Linked DNA regions of Xenopus tropicalis. Each later gene encodes a partner of the first gene's protein in a complex. Links are inferred from orthologs where the notes say so. Each region holds a gene or a part of one and is shown on either strand. Other genes may lie near its edges. The genes, in order: dgcr8, drosha and erh.

Evidence for each region.
Region 2: the proteins of dgcr8 (region 1) and drosha are in contact, whole or in part, in a crystal structure (PDB 5B16), measured with the Homo sapiens proteins. The link is inferred for Xenopus tropicalis from reciprocal best matches to the Homo sapiens genes DGCR8 and DROSHA. Residues at the interface, in NP_073557.3 of Homo sapiens: Asn728, Ile731, Leu732, Lys734, Leu735, Gln736, Glu738, Met739, Lys740, Leu742, Ala743, Arg746, Arg750; in NP_001369437.1 of Homo sapiens: Leu984, Leu987, Phe988, Thr998, Tyr999, Thr1001, Ala1002, Ile1003, Gln1005, His1008, Phe1069, Asp1073, Leu1074, Glu1076, Val1077, Trp1078, Asn1080, Pro1082.
Region 3: the proteins of dgcr8 (region 1) and erh are in contact, whole or in part, in a crystal structure (PDB 7CNC), measured with the Homo sapiens proteins. The link is inferred for Xenopus tropicalis from reciprocal best matches to the Homo sapiens genes DGCR8 and ERH. Residues at the interface, in NP_073557.3 of Homo sapiens: Lys107, Phe108, Ser109, Pro110, Asp111, Leu112, Leu114, Leu115; in NP_004441.1 of Homo sapiens: Val8, Pro10, Thr11, Thr18, Tyr19, Ala20, Glu27, Lys34, Met35, His39, Arg42, Met43, Phe60, Leu64.

The regions. Positions count from the first base shown.
Region 1 is NC_030677.2:155,329,203-155,333,562, reverse strand, and holds the start of dgcr8 (microprocessor complex subunit DGCR8), read right to left. Parts: upstream 2,921-4,360; coding exon 2,195-2,920; intron 1,784-2,194; coding exon 1,624-1,783; intron 175-1,623; coding exon 32-174; intron 1-31.
Region 2 is NC_030682.2:84,236,196-84,239,844, forward strand, and holds part of drosha (ribonuclease 3), read right to left. Parts: intron 1,865-3,649; coding exon 1,790-1,864; intron 76-1,789; coding exon 1-75. UniProt on the Homo sapiens protein: Ribonuclease III double-stranded (ds) RNA-specific endoribonuclease that is involved in the initial step of microRNA (miRNA) biogenesis.
Region 3 is NC_030684.2:109,825,662-109,829,797, forward strand, and holds the start of erh (enhancer of rudimentary homolog), read right to left. Parts: upstream 2,866-4,136; 5' UTR 2,761-2,865; coding exon 2,758-2,760; intron 2,549-2,757; coding exon 2,461-2,548; intron 1-2,460. UniProt on the Homo sapiens protein: May have a role in the cell cycle.

The DNA.
Region 1 (4,360 bases):
ACAGCTAAATGATTTAGCTACAATTGCTTACCCTTATGCTCCCAGTGCCCAAGAAATAAGGTCTGGACCAGGTGACTACCCTGGTTTCTCGATGCAAGTACACAGGTAGGCCAGAGTTGTGGAATGTCATGATCCACCCATCAGGTAATGGTTCTGTTGGTGGGCGGCCTCGACCTAAAAAAATAGAGTGATAGAAATATTAATGGGGGAATTACCTAGACTTGATTTCTCTGTGAGAATTCTTCTCCCACACAATTTTATTAACAGGATCACCAAAGTGACAGACAATGCTGATTAAAACTTAAGGGGAAAAAATGAACTTATTTGCAACATAAAACCAATTAAAAAGGACAGTTTGAAAGTTACATTTCTTGTTGTTTTCCTAATATTTTCAAATATTGGCAGGAAGAGGCAGGGGATCCAATCGTAATGAGTATTGTCAAAATGTTATAATACATGCATAATAAAGGCTAATGGCACATGATGTGTATGGTGTACACTTTCAGCAAAACGCTTGCCGAGAATACGCGCCATACGCTCCTACCTGTGCCTGCACCTGAATGAATGGAATACGATTGGGTGCAGGCACATGTAGCCGAAGTCCGCATAAAACTGCGAGGCTACATGTGCCTGCACCTGGGCGTAGTCCATTAATTCTGGCTCAGGCACAGGTAGGAGCATATGGCGCGTATTCTCAGCAAGTGTTATTTGGCTAGCCAAAAATATACACCATTCGCATTGTGTGGCATTAGCCTAATCAGCAAGATTAATTGCCTGAAATTTCTACACAGTCTACACAACCCTTATTTGCATGGCAAATTAAGGTTTACCAGAAATAGGTTTTATTCCTAGCAAATTGAAGACACTAAGGTTTATGGCACACTATACAAACGCATAAATACATTTTCTTGTGGGATCAGACACTTACATGTATTCCAACTGATCATCAGCCAAACAGTTACCAGCAAAATATATTTTTCAGAGCATTCTGTAAAGTCAGCTGCATTACGCTTCCCTTTTCACCAGGTTTCAGGTCACTTATGTCAGAACGGTCAAAATCAGTGACAAATATCTGCTACTGTGTAGTCATCCTCTCTCTCCAAAATAGAAATTACCATCTCCATGTGATTATGGAAGTGGAATAAAACATTGCAATACTAGGGCTGACTTTGTACAATATTAATACTAGTAGGTTTAATAGGTATAATTTGGCCATCCATGCAAACTGAAGCAATCTATTTATCCTCCAGGTAGTGAGAATAAATGTTACAGGGACTTGTGGCCTCCTACATTAAAAAACTACCAAGCCTTATCTATGTGAATTAAAAATGTTTCTGTAAACAAGTTTTCTCTGGACAAACTGACTACAGTGCAATAGGATAAAAACATATACAGTTTAAAGTCAAAATCCATCACCCAACAAAACTTGAGACCCCGTGTGATAGTGAAACCCAAAACCTCACCTTTCTTCCCACTGAGTTAATTGAAACCAAGTGGGAGAAACAGTGAGGTAGGTTAAAAAAAAAAAAAAACCTAAGACACACGTAACAAATGTTTAACACACTGTGTTCTACTAAATTAGATTAAAATGAGGCAAACAGATAAAGGACATCCATAGCTTACTTTTTAGTACAGTTTTTATTTTGGTCACCATGGGTTGCACACTTGACTCTCCATCTGATTGATGATCACTATCAATATCATATTTTTCATCAATTCTTCGCTTTTTGGGGGTGTGAAGGGACTCTTCCAGAAGAGCATCCACATCGTTATCAAATTCATCCTGTAAGAAAAATCATCAGGAACATCCCCAATTCCATCCCTGTGGGGAAACAGAGCCCCTTCCTCTTATCCCTTGCAAAGACATATTATTTAAACCAAGAATGGACATCCTGTAGCTTTTCCATTTACGGTAGATCTATTTGAACACTCCACCCCTAACAAATTTCAGCTATTGGTGGGATGCAGAACATTTTGTTTCAACATCTGAAAAGCAGCAAGTCTGACACCACTTTCAGCACTTTCACCTGGAATGTGCTGCTGCTGTAAAACTCAAAAGGTAAAATAAAAACAGAATATAAATTTGCTACAGAATGAAAAAATTAGGCAACAAATGCGGATGTTATTGGTAACAAACATACAACGCATGGGATGTGCTCCCATAATCCACTTGTATTTATGTTAAGAAACATACCTCATAACTGTACATCAGGGCTTCTTCATCAATCTTATCTCTCTGGAGAATGGATTCCGATACAAATTCTGCTCCATCTTCATCGACATCCATAACATTTTCGGTAAAATCTTCAAGTTCATCCAGAACAGCATACTCTACTTTCTTTTCCTGATCAATTTCAGGCTCATCGTTTTTTTTAAGTGTAATTTCAACACTATCAGTAACATTACCATTGGTACTACCAGCAAAAGGACAAACATACATATCTCCATTTACACTGTTTATATTGCTACCTCCATCTAGGGAACCCTCACATTCCAATCCAGTGTACAGAACCTGTCTGTCTTTGCTTTTGCAACTCTCTGTAAAGCTTACACTAATCTTAACATCCTTTAGCAACTTAAGATCGGGGGTAAACCCTTTATTAGATGGTGCATGGCGAGCTGTTCTTGGCCTTTGGTCACTGTGAAAGGGATCAAGAACTGTAAGATGACTCTTGTAGGAGGATGACCCCTTAGTGAGAAGCTGTAATCCGTTGTTTTGTTGCAGGTCCCCAGCTGGGGTTTGTGACTGTCCATCACCACCAGAGCCAACGTCCATTACCTCTGCGTCACTGGACGTTTGCAGGGGAGGTGGTGGAGGCTCTTCATCTGGCGGCAGAGGAGGGGGAGAAGCAGGAATCATTTCCGTCACTTCATGTCCATTTACCTCTGGGAGAGGGGCTACTTCCTCACACTCCTCCATAATTAATACTAATTTAGCACAGAAAATCTACAACAAAACAGCTAGTTTACAAATGTAACTATAACCCTAGCATGCAACTGCCCAGCAATGTGAGTGTACCACATTACAATCAGTAGGTAACACTGATGATTCTGTTAAGCTGACTACATTGCTCTTTTCATTAATGTAGACAGCCTTCAGAAATACTGTCTCTATTACTGGAAATCACAATGTATTCAGCTTAATGAGAGCAAGCGCTAGGCATCAGACATCGTTGATCCAGACCTTCATGTCTACCTGTAACAAGAAGAAAAGAAAAGAGAAAAGAAAGAAACAATGGGGAAAGGGTTGCAGTCTCTTCCACATACACACAATAAACTGATGCAAAGTGCACAGCAGTATCCTTTATCAGTACAACGACACTATAATAAATTCATATATACATCTAGCTCTGATCAAGCATCGAAAGGCCTCACTTAAAGAGAAGAAAGAACATATATAAAATCAGCGCCGCCATAGGGTGGGGGCAGTGGTACCGGGCCCGGTGGGTATTTTGCTTTAAGGGGGGGGGCTGTGCTGCACTTTATTGGATTAGCGGAGCCCCTGCTGTCAGTAGAATGCAAAATTCGGAAGGGGCTTCCCTTAAGCTTCTATGGCACAACCAGCGGGAGGGAAACCGGTATCGTGAAAAGAACATGCAGGCACCCTAGCTCCCGCCCTGCCTTCCGAAGTCTGCAGCTTACTGACAGTAGGGGCCCGGCAATCCAACTAAACGCATACTGCCCAAAAGTTCCGCCTTGCCTAACACATCCCGTAGTCGCACAGCGCTACTTACACCTCCCGAAAAGCTGTTAACTACAGCCTCGGAGCCTCCAGTCTCACTGAAAATCTCAACGTCACAAGTCCCATCACGCGAGACTGGCGTCAAAACTACCCGTAAGCCAGTGACGCATACGCACTGCCTTGGGGGCGTGGCAAGTCGGCGTAACTCAATGTTACACAGTGGGAGGCTGCTTGTAAGTCAGCTCTCAAATTGGCTTTCCTTTACTCGCCCCTCCTACTTCTGCTACAGAACGGCAGTACATGTTCTCACCAGATCGTCTTTTTGCGATTTGACCAAAAATGAAATATTTCAGTACATTTTAAGCATTTTTTTGTCAACATAGTTATGTTTCTCTCGTCCTGTGCTAAGTAAAATTACTTAATGTGTATATATATTATATATGTATACACATACATACTCTTTCCATTGCATAGTATTTTGATTGTAGCATTTGCACAAAAAAGTTGTATTTTTCGCAACGAATCGGAATTCATTCAACCTTTGGTATGGCGACTATCTTTTGGCCAGGCTGGATCTGTAGAGTGCCATTGAGTCCTATGGAAGGCTTCCAAAATCATGCATTGAAGGTTTCAAAGCCAGAAAGGTTTATGCGCTGTTTACAATTGTTCGGATGTGAA
Region 2 (3,649 bases), on another chromosome or scaffold:
GAAGAGCTCTCTGATAGAGATTCATTGTCTTCCTCCCAACGAGATCTTTTATGCTCTCTGCTTGATGGTGATGGACTTGAAACAGAAAGAAACTTGATTAGCATAGTGCAATTCAATTGGTTGTATGGTATAGAAGAGTTATTTGAAATACAGATATAAAGCACTAGTTTCCTTGTATTGATAAAGGGTCCCGAATGCCTGGGGAGAACACATTTTGTGCCAGTGCCAGACAAGAAGGGCTCAAAGTCTCTTCACTAAGCAATTTATTTGAAGCCCAGTCTACACTCATTTACTTACACAAAATATGACTGACAAAGAAGCAGGTAGGTTAGAAGTTTTGCCATTAAAGGAACAGTAACATCAAAAAATGAAAGTGATTTAAAGTAATTAAAATATAATGTGCTGTTGTTCTGCAAAAAAACTGTTTTTTTTGCTACAGAAAAGCTACTGTATAAATAAGCTGCTGTGTAGCCATGGGGGCAGTCATTCAAGCTGGAAAAAAGGAGAAAAGGCACAGGTTACATAGCAGATAACTAGTAGATAAGCCCCATATAATGGGGGTTTGTCTGTTATCTGCTAAGTAACCTGTGCCTTTTCTCCTTTGAATGGCTGCCCCCATGGCTACACAGCAGCTAACTTATATAAACTATAGTAGTCTTTCTGAGGCAAACACACCAGTTGTAGCAATGCAGGGCAACAGTACATTATATTGTTGTTACTTTTATACACTTTAACTTTTTGGTGTTACTGTTCCTTTAAGGTTTTTGCCCAAGCTAATTTTGCTAAAATACAGCAAAGGTATAATTTACTGTCTGTATCAGGGGCCAAGGCTGCCTTGATACTTTATATACTGACTTGATACCTACATGAGAAGAAAATGTAAAATCACCAGAGGTTGATAAGGTGCCCATACACCTTCAGATCTGCTCGCTTGGCGATGTCGCCAAGCAAGCGGATCTTCTCCCGATATCCCCCACCTACGGGTGGGCGATATCGGGAGAATGCAGACTAATTCAATCGTTTGGCCCTGAGGCCAAACGATCGAATTATTACCGCGGGTATAGGCAAAGGCGGCCCCGATCCGACTAGATTTTTTAACCTGCCCAATCGAGATCTGGCCGATTTCAGCCCAGATATCGGTCGGACAGGCCCATCGGTAGTGCCCATACACGGACCGATTAGCTGCCGAATCGGTCTAAGGGACCTTTAGGCACTCCCCAGTGTTTAGTTTTTTTTGTTTGTTTTATTTTTAATTCATATTTTACACCAGCATAGTTAACAGAATAAGAGCCTGCGACAATATACAAATTACAGGAAAAGAGAGGAGGAAGAAAAGAATAGACAAGAGAGAAAGAAACCAATAGACTATACTTGCCTGAAGCATACCAGAGTATACCTCAGGTGCCCCTGTGCCAATTCTAAGACGGTGCATTTGCAATACAGAATTCTCTAACTTTTGTAAAACTCAGCAAACAGTACACAGGGCTAATGAATTTTTAAAGAGGAGCACAGGGTAGAAGGCAAGTAACTAAAATAACTGGGCACTGGGAGGTGTGCCTAACTTGGTACATTCTAGTGATTTTACCTTTTTGTCTCCTTTAAGCTACACCCTTAAATTGTACTGTCTCTACAAAAAAAGATGAAATATTAATTTCTTTAGCATGTCTGTTCATAAGAAAATACATAAGGTCAAAACTAAGCTGCCCTATATAATGATGAATACGTATACAAGCTAACAATGTTCACATATCTATCTAAGTTTATATGGTTTTAATTTACACACTAATACCTTTTTGGCCTCTTTCTATAACTTCTCTCAGTAGATGTTGATCTTCGGCTTTCTCTATGCCGGTGTCTCTCTCGGCTACATGACAGAAAAAGAAAATAGCTATTGAAAAAAAATGCAGCAGATAAAAACATTATGAACTAAATATTTCAAGTCCACTGGTCTCATTTGCAATTTAAAATTACACAAGACAAAATGAGAAAATAGAACAGACAAGTAGAGTTCATTATAACTGTTTTATTAGCAATCACCTACTTCAGATAAAAAATATTGCATACAATAATTATTATAAAAAGATCAATACAACAAAACTTTTCAGGAAATGTCCTCTTATTCAGGAGAAGGTTAGCAACTACTTCTTTTATGTAAAGTTCCCCTACCCACAACAGAACAACAATAAGAATTTAGGGTATGACCAAAAACACATGCACCTAGCAATCTGTAACTAACTAATGGCAGCACATTGTGGCAAACAAAATATACACCTAGCGGTGTTTAAAGGTGCCAGTCTTATCCTTGTCATCGGTTTAGCCCAAAATGACATCTGCCATTTGACCAAGCAGGTTATACCATCCCCTACTGTAAGAGCTGTGCACTGTGCCATAGCGATGTTTAAGGTTGTGGCGTTTCAGCCATCTGTTTACCAAAAATCTCACCTCTCCCATCTAACCAAGAATATTTAGGGGCATATTTATTATAGTGTGTAAGCCAACATCAACGGTCCATAGCACAGCACATAGAATTGAATAGTCTACAATCAAAAGCAAAGACCCAATTGGTTGCTATAGGAAATAGAGAAATTTTATTTTCTTACCGTAATTTCTATTTCCAAGACACTCTTCATGGCAGCATTCACCAACACTGGGTAATCCCCGCCCCTCTAGGTCACTGGACAGGAAAGCGTTAACACAGCATTTAAGCATCCCCCCTCCCACAGCACCTAGTCTTAGTAACCAAGCATCTGAAGGGAGGGAAGTTGGTGAATGCTGCCATGAAGAGTGACTTGGAAATAAAAATTATGGTAAGAAAATAAGATTTCTCTATTTCCCAAGTCACAATGGCAGCACTTCACCAACACTGGGAATTCCCCAAGGTAAAAAAAAGAAGGGAGCGACAGCAGAGGCTGCTTAATCAATTTATTCCAGAACGTTCAGGGAACGACTGCCTGAAAATTTTTCCTCCCAAATCTCGCTTCCTGGGACTGCAACACATCCAGCTTATAGTGCCGAATAAAGGTAGATGCAGAAGTCCATCTAGCTGCCTTGCAGATCGCTTCTGGCGGAGCCATGGCTTCTGCCTCCCAGGATGTAGCCATTGTTCTGGTGGAATGTGCCTTAAGATCCCCTGGGATCTCCCTGCCAGCCAACTGATAAGCCAAAACGATACAGGAGACAATCCACCGACTGACCGTCACTTGGAAATAGGCATCTTTTAAGTCGAGGTTTAATAACCATGCTTTCGGAGGAACTGCGAGGATTATGGAAGCCAAGGACTCCATCTTGAACAGTCTGCAATGGATGAACTGGTTCAACGGTCTGAGATCAATAACCGGTCTGAAGGCTCCTGAGGACTTCCGTACCAGAAAAAGCTTTGAGTAGAACCCGGATCTCCTGGACGAGTGAGGAACTTCCTCCACTGCCCCTGATTCTCTGAGCGCATCCACATATTCCTGAAAAATTACTTCTGCTTGCGGAATTTTTGGAGGTATAGATTTCCGAAAAACATTTCTTCTGGGTCTTTCCTGGAATTCTAGCCGATACCCTTCTTGGACAACCTTTAAGACCCAGGAATCTCTTACTGCTGAGGCCCAGACTCCATGAAAAAGCTGCAACCTTGCACCTATCTTTAAAGTCTGGACCGGCT
Region 3 (4,136 bases), on another chromosome or scaffold:
ATATCATCCCCAAAATAAATAATTATCGCATTACAGTGAGTTTGAGTAGTTCCTTAACTTCAACAAAGGATGGATTATAACAAGATTAATTCCAACAGGGAGGTGATTTAAATCTGGGCTTTATGATCAGTAGGGAAGAAGGTCAAGGTAAGAACAATCTACTTACTTCTCTATATAGAAATATGTTAAATCTTTGCGTTTGCACACTTGCGAGAAAGGCACATAATTTTATTAAAGCCAAGGTTCCACTTGTGCTATTTAGGCTTAGACAGCAGAAAAATGCCACAAGGCGTTTATAATACGCAAGAGTCAAACATCCATTTAAACAGTGCTTAGTAACGTTATTTGTGTCACATGACACATTGAAACTTATGTATTATAAACAAAAAAATATGTACCCCCTTTTCCAAAATTAAAAAAATTAGAATTTGCCAAGGTGAAAAAGCCAAAGGATTTTGTGCTTTTATACAGGTTATGGAACTTTTAATATACTCAAGAGCCATAAACATCCTGTAGCCAATATGCTTACAGAGTGTGCTTAGTGATGTCATAGGTTATACTCGGTGCTTAGTGATGTAATCTGTCACATGACTTACTGAAAACTGTGAATTATGAAAACAATGTACCCTGTTATAAAATTACAATAACGATACATTGTTGTCTATATTATCTACAGTTTGGCCAATTCCCTACGGCATTGTAAACTAAACTAGAGACCATTTGCCTGCCCGTAGTATAACTTCTCCTGCCGGATTGTCTGCCTCCTCAAGACCCGCTCAATCAAACACTGGCCCCTCAGGCCTGAATCAACTACTTTACTGCGTCCCCACCAAACTGAACAGCCAGACCCTCCCACCTAACCGCCTGCTCAACAGCAACAAAGGGAAAAGCAGATCTGACTATAGTTCCAGAAGAAACAGGACTTTGAAGAAATGGAGAACAGTGAAAGTGTGGGGGGGGGGGGGGGCAGACACATGGGAGAAAGTGTGGGGAGCAAACAGAGGAAAGGGAACAAGGGGAACTGTAAAAGGGAGGTAAACAAAACATAAGCATGGATACAACTATGCCCCCTAGCCACCCTGAGCAAAAGAACAGCATACTGGCAACTATCCCCCACATCTGTGAGGAGGGGAACAAAATGGAGGCAGAGGTGGAACTATGCTACCCACAGGGCCCCCACACCACTTATATCTGTGGAGCCCTCCTGCCTCTCACACATTGGGATCCTCTCCCGCAACTCACAATATAACCCCGGGGGTTCAAAGGGGGGGTCTAACAGGTCAAGTGCTGGTCGAGAGTTTAGGTTCCAGATTCCGCCTTTGACCCCTAAGGCCTGCAGATTGTATTGAGGATGTACCCAGTACTAACATTTATGAAGATAATAGAAGTCACCAAGGAGTCACATGACCATATACACCTTCTGAAAATACAAGGTCATGTTTATCTTATCTATAAGAAGGGGTACATTAGTCACTATATACTTTAAATTTAAGGAAATATTAATCTTTATACAAATATAACTGGGGCTGGCCAACCTAAATGGGACAGACACTAAATGCCAGTCGGGGTAAGATTTGGGGAGAATGACTATACTTACATGCCCCGTGCGAAACATCGTCAGATCAGCCACACACCATTCAGGGCTGAATCGGCAGGTAAGGAGGTAGAAACAATAGGATTTCTACCTCCTTCTGCCGATTCAGCGGTGAAGGGAGATTTTGGTCAGAATTTGGTCAAAATTTTCAAACTGGTCCGATCGGCGAGTCGGCCGATATCAGCAGCTTCCTGCGATATTGGTCGACTCGCCGACATACCATACACGCACCGAATATCGTACGAAACCTCGTATTATCGGTGCATGTATGGCCACCTTAAAGCTGGCCATACATGGTAAGATTAGTTTGCTTCGCAAGGTTGCCAAGCAAGCTGATCTTCTCTCGATATGCCCAACTGAGGGTGGGCACTATTGGGCTAATCTAGTTGTTGGGCCCTGGGGCCAAACAATCGAAAGAAAACAGCGAGTATAGGCACGGGTGGATGCGGTCCCGATTTGATGGAAAAATCAAACCTGCCCGATTGAGATCTGCCCAATTTCAGGCCAGACGTCGTCAAGAAGGCCCAATAAGCAGATAAGCTGCAGAATTAGTGTAAAGGCCCAATATCGGCAGCCAAAATTAACCCATGTATGGCCACCATAAAGGTCAGTTACATACTCAGGGCTGGGGGAGGGGGGGAACAATTATTTCCTGGAGATATCAGAAAAAGCGGATATAAAACATAGCTCTGATCAAGGCTACAGTGATAATTGCCTAAATGAATGTGGGGGGGGGGGCTGCCTAAATCCTGGGCAGTAAAGGAGGTTTGGGCGGAAAACCCCGTGCTGTAAGGAATGTATAGAGTGCGAGTAACCCGTAGCTACACTTCCCTTCCTATCAAGCAATAAATGTGAGGCTAACATACCTTCCATGCATTCATTCACCGACTCGTAGTCTGCATAGGTCCGGCCCTCGGGTCTCTTGGTGGGCTGTACGAGTAGGATTGTGTGAGACTGCAAGAGAGAGGCCGTGTGAGCTCTACAGGCAAAACACAAGCAGAGGAGCAGCTGCAGAGCCCCGGGCCGAGGGGGGCCTCCATCGCTACATTATGGGGCCGCGCATCCCGCCCCCTGGAACTCAGGAGCCCGCCGCGGCCTGCAGCTGCTTCTCTGCGCCCTCACCCGCTAACAAGCCCCGCCGCCCAGCAGCCATTCCTACTCACCATATCTGCGCTTTCTACACACCGCAACTTAGCACCCGAAGCAGCAAGCAGGAAATGGAAAGTCGTGTTTCCGGCGGAAGTAGTTAGATTTAAACGCTCCAGGTATCATACAGCGAGACTAGTATGGGAGGTCGTGGCGGCCATGATTAATAAGGGCTCGGGGTGTAATATGACTGTACGTGTATTTTATTTATATAGCGCTGTATGTATGTATCGCTGTGCAACAGCACAATAATAAACAAGGGGTCATTACAATAATGAATAAAAAGTACAAGAGCTATGTGTCAAAGAGACAAGAGGATGGAGGTAACGCCTTAAACTATATAATAGTTAAATTTAATTGTTATATATTTTATTGTTATATATTTTATTGTTATACATTTAATTGTAAATATTGTTATACGAGTTTATGTCGTTTTCTGCGACGCTTTTCGCCTGTTTGTAACTACTAAATGCTTATGTGCGCCACAAAGGGGCGTGTCTCTGTCTTTATGTTTATTCTATCCACGCAGCGCTGTCCGTCTATCTACGTTCCCTACTGTGACGCCATTGTCCAGCTAACCCGGAAGTAGTCTCATGTAATGACACCATGGCAGCCGCGGCTCTGAGGCACAGCAAGATGGCGGTGCGTATGTGCGAGAGCCACTAAGGTTCCTGCGGGCTGTCAGAGTCTGTTGAACAAGCCGGAGCAGATTTTTGGGCTCAGCGGTAAGGAATAGCCCTGTGGTTCGTATTCGGTTTGAGCTGTTCCGGACCGGCTGTGCCTGTCTGTTAGTGTGTGAGTACCTACATTATTTATCGGTATAGTGCACTGATTGGCAACCTCGAATGGGACAAGTCTTGCTGAGCTACACCTGCCATGGGCTGAAGTATAGGCAGGGAGTAGTTTTGTGTATATGTTTTATGAGGCTATTTGTAAATGACAATAGTATAGGTAAATGTAATTTATATCCACTATGTGTCTGTATAGTTGTATACTGGCCCCAGTATGCATAGCATCATGTCCATTCCATGAGCACAGATCAGAGAGACCATGGAGTACATACCATAGCAAAGGATAAGCATCAAACTGCACAGGAAGGTTATATCTAATCTTTCTATTAATAGCTGTAGTTACTAATAGCATTAAGGGATATCAATTGGTAGGTGTGGGTGTCCCAAAGAGCTCACTGTCTAACTAAGAGTAGTGGAACCCCCCACAGACATGGGGAACACAATAGGTTTATGGGAGAGTAAGGGGAAAGTGTGTTAGCGGCTAATGAAACGCTTCCTTTAACAAGTGGTTTTATGATTGTTCATTACTGGGGTAGTTCACCTTAAATTTAACGTTGAGTTAAATGTAGGCAGTGGTATTCTGACAGTTTGCAATTAGCCTTCAT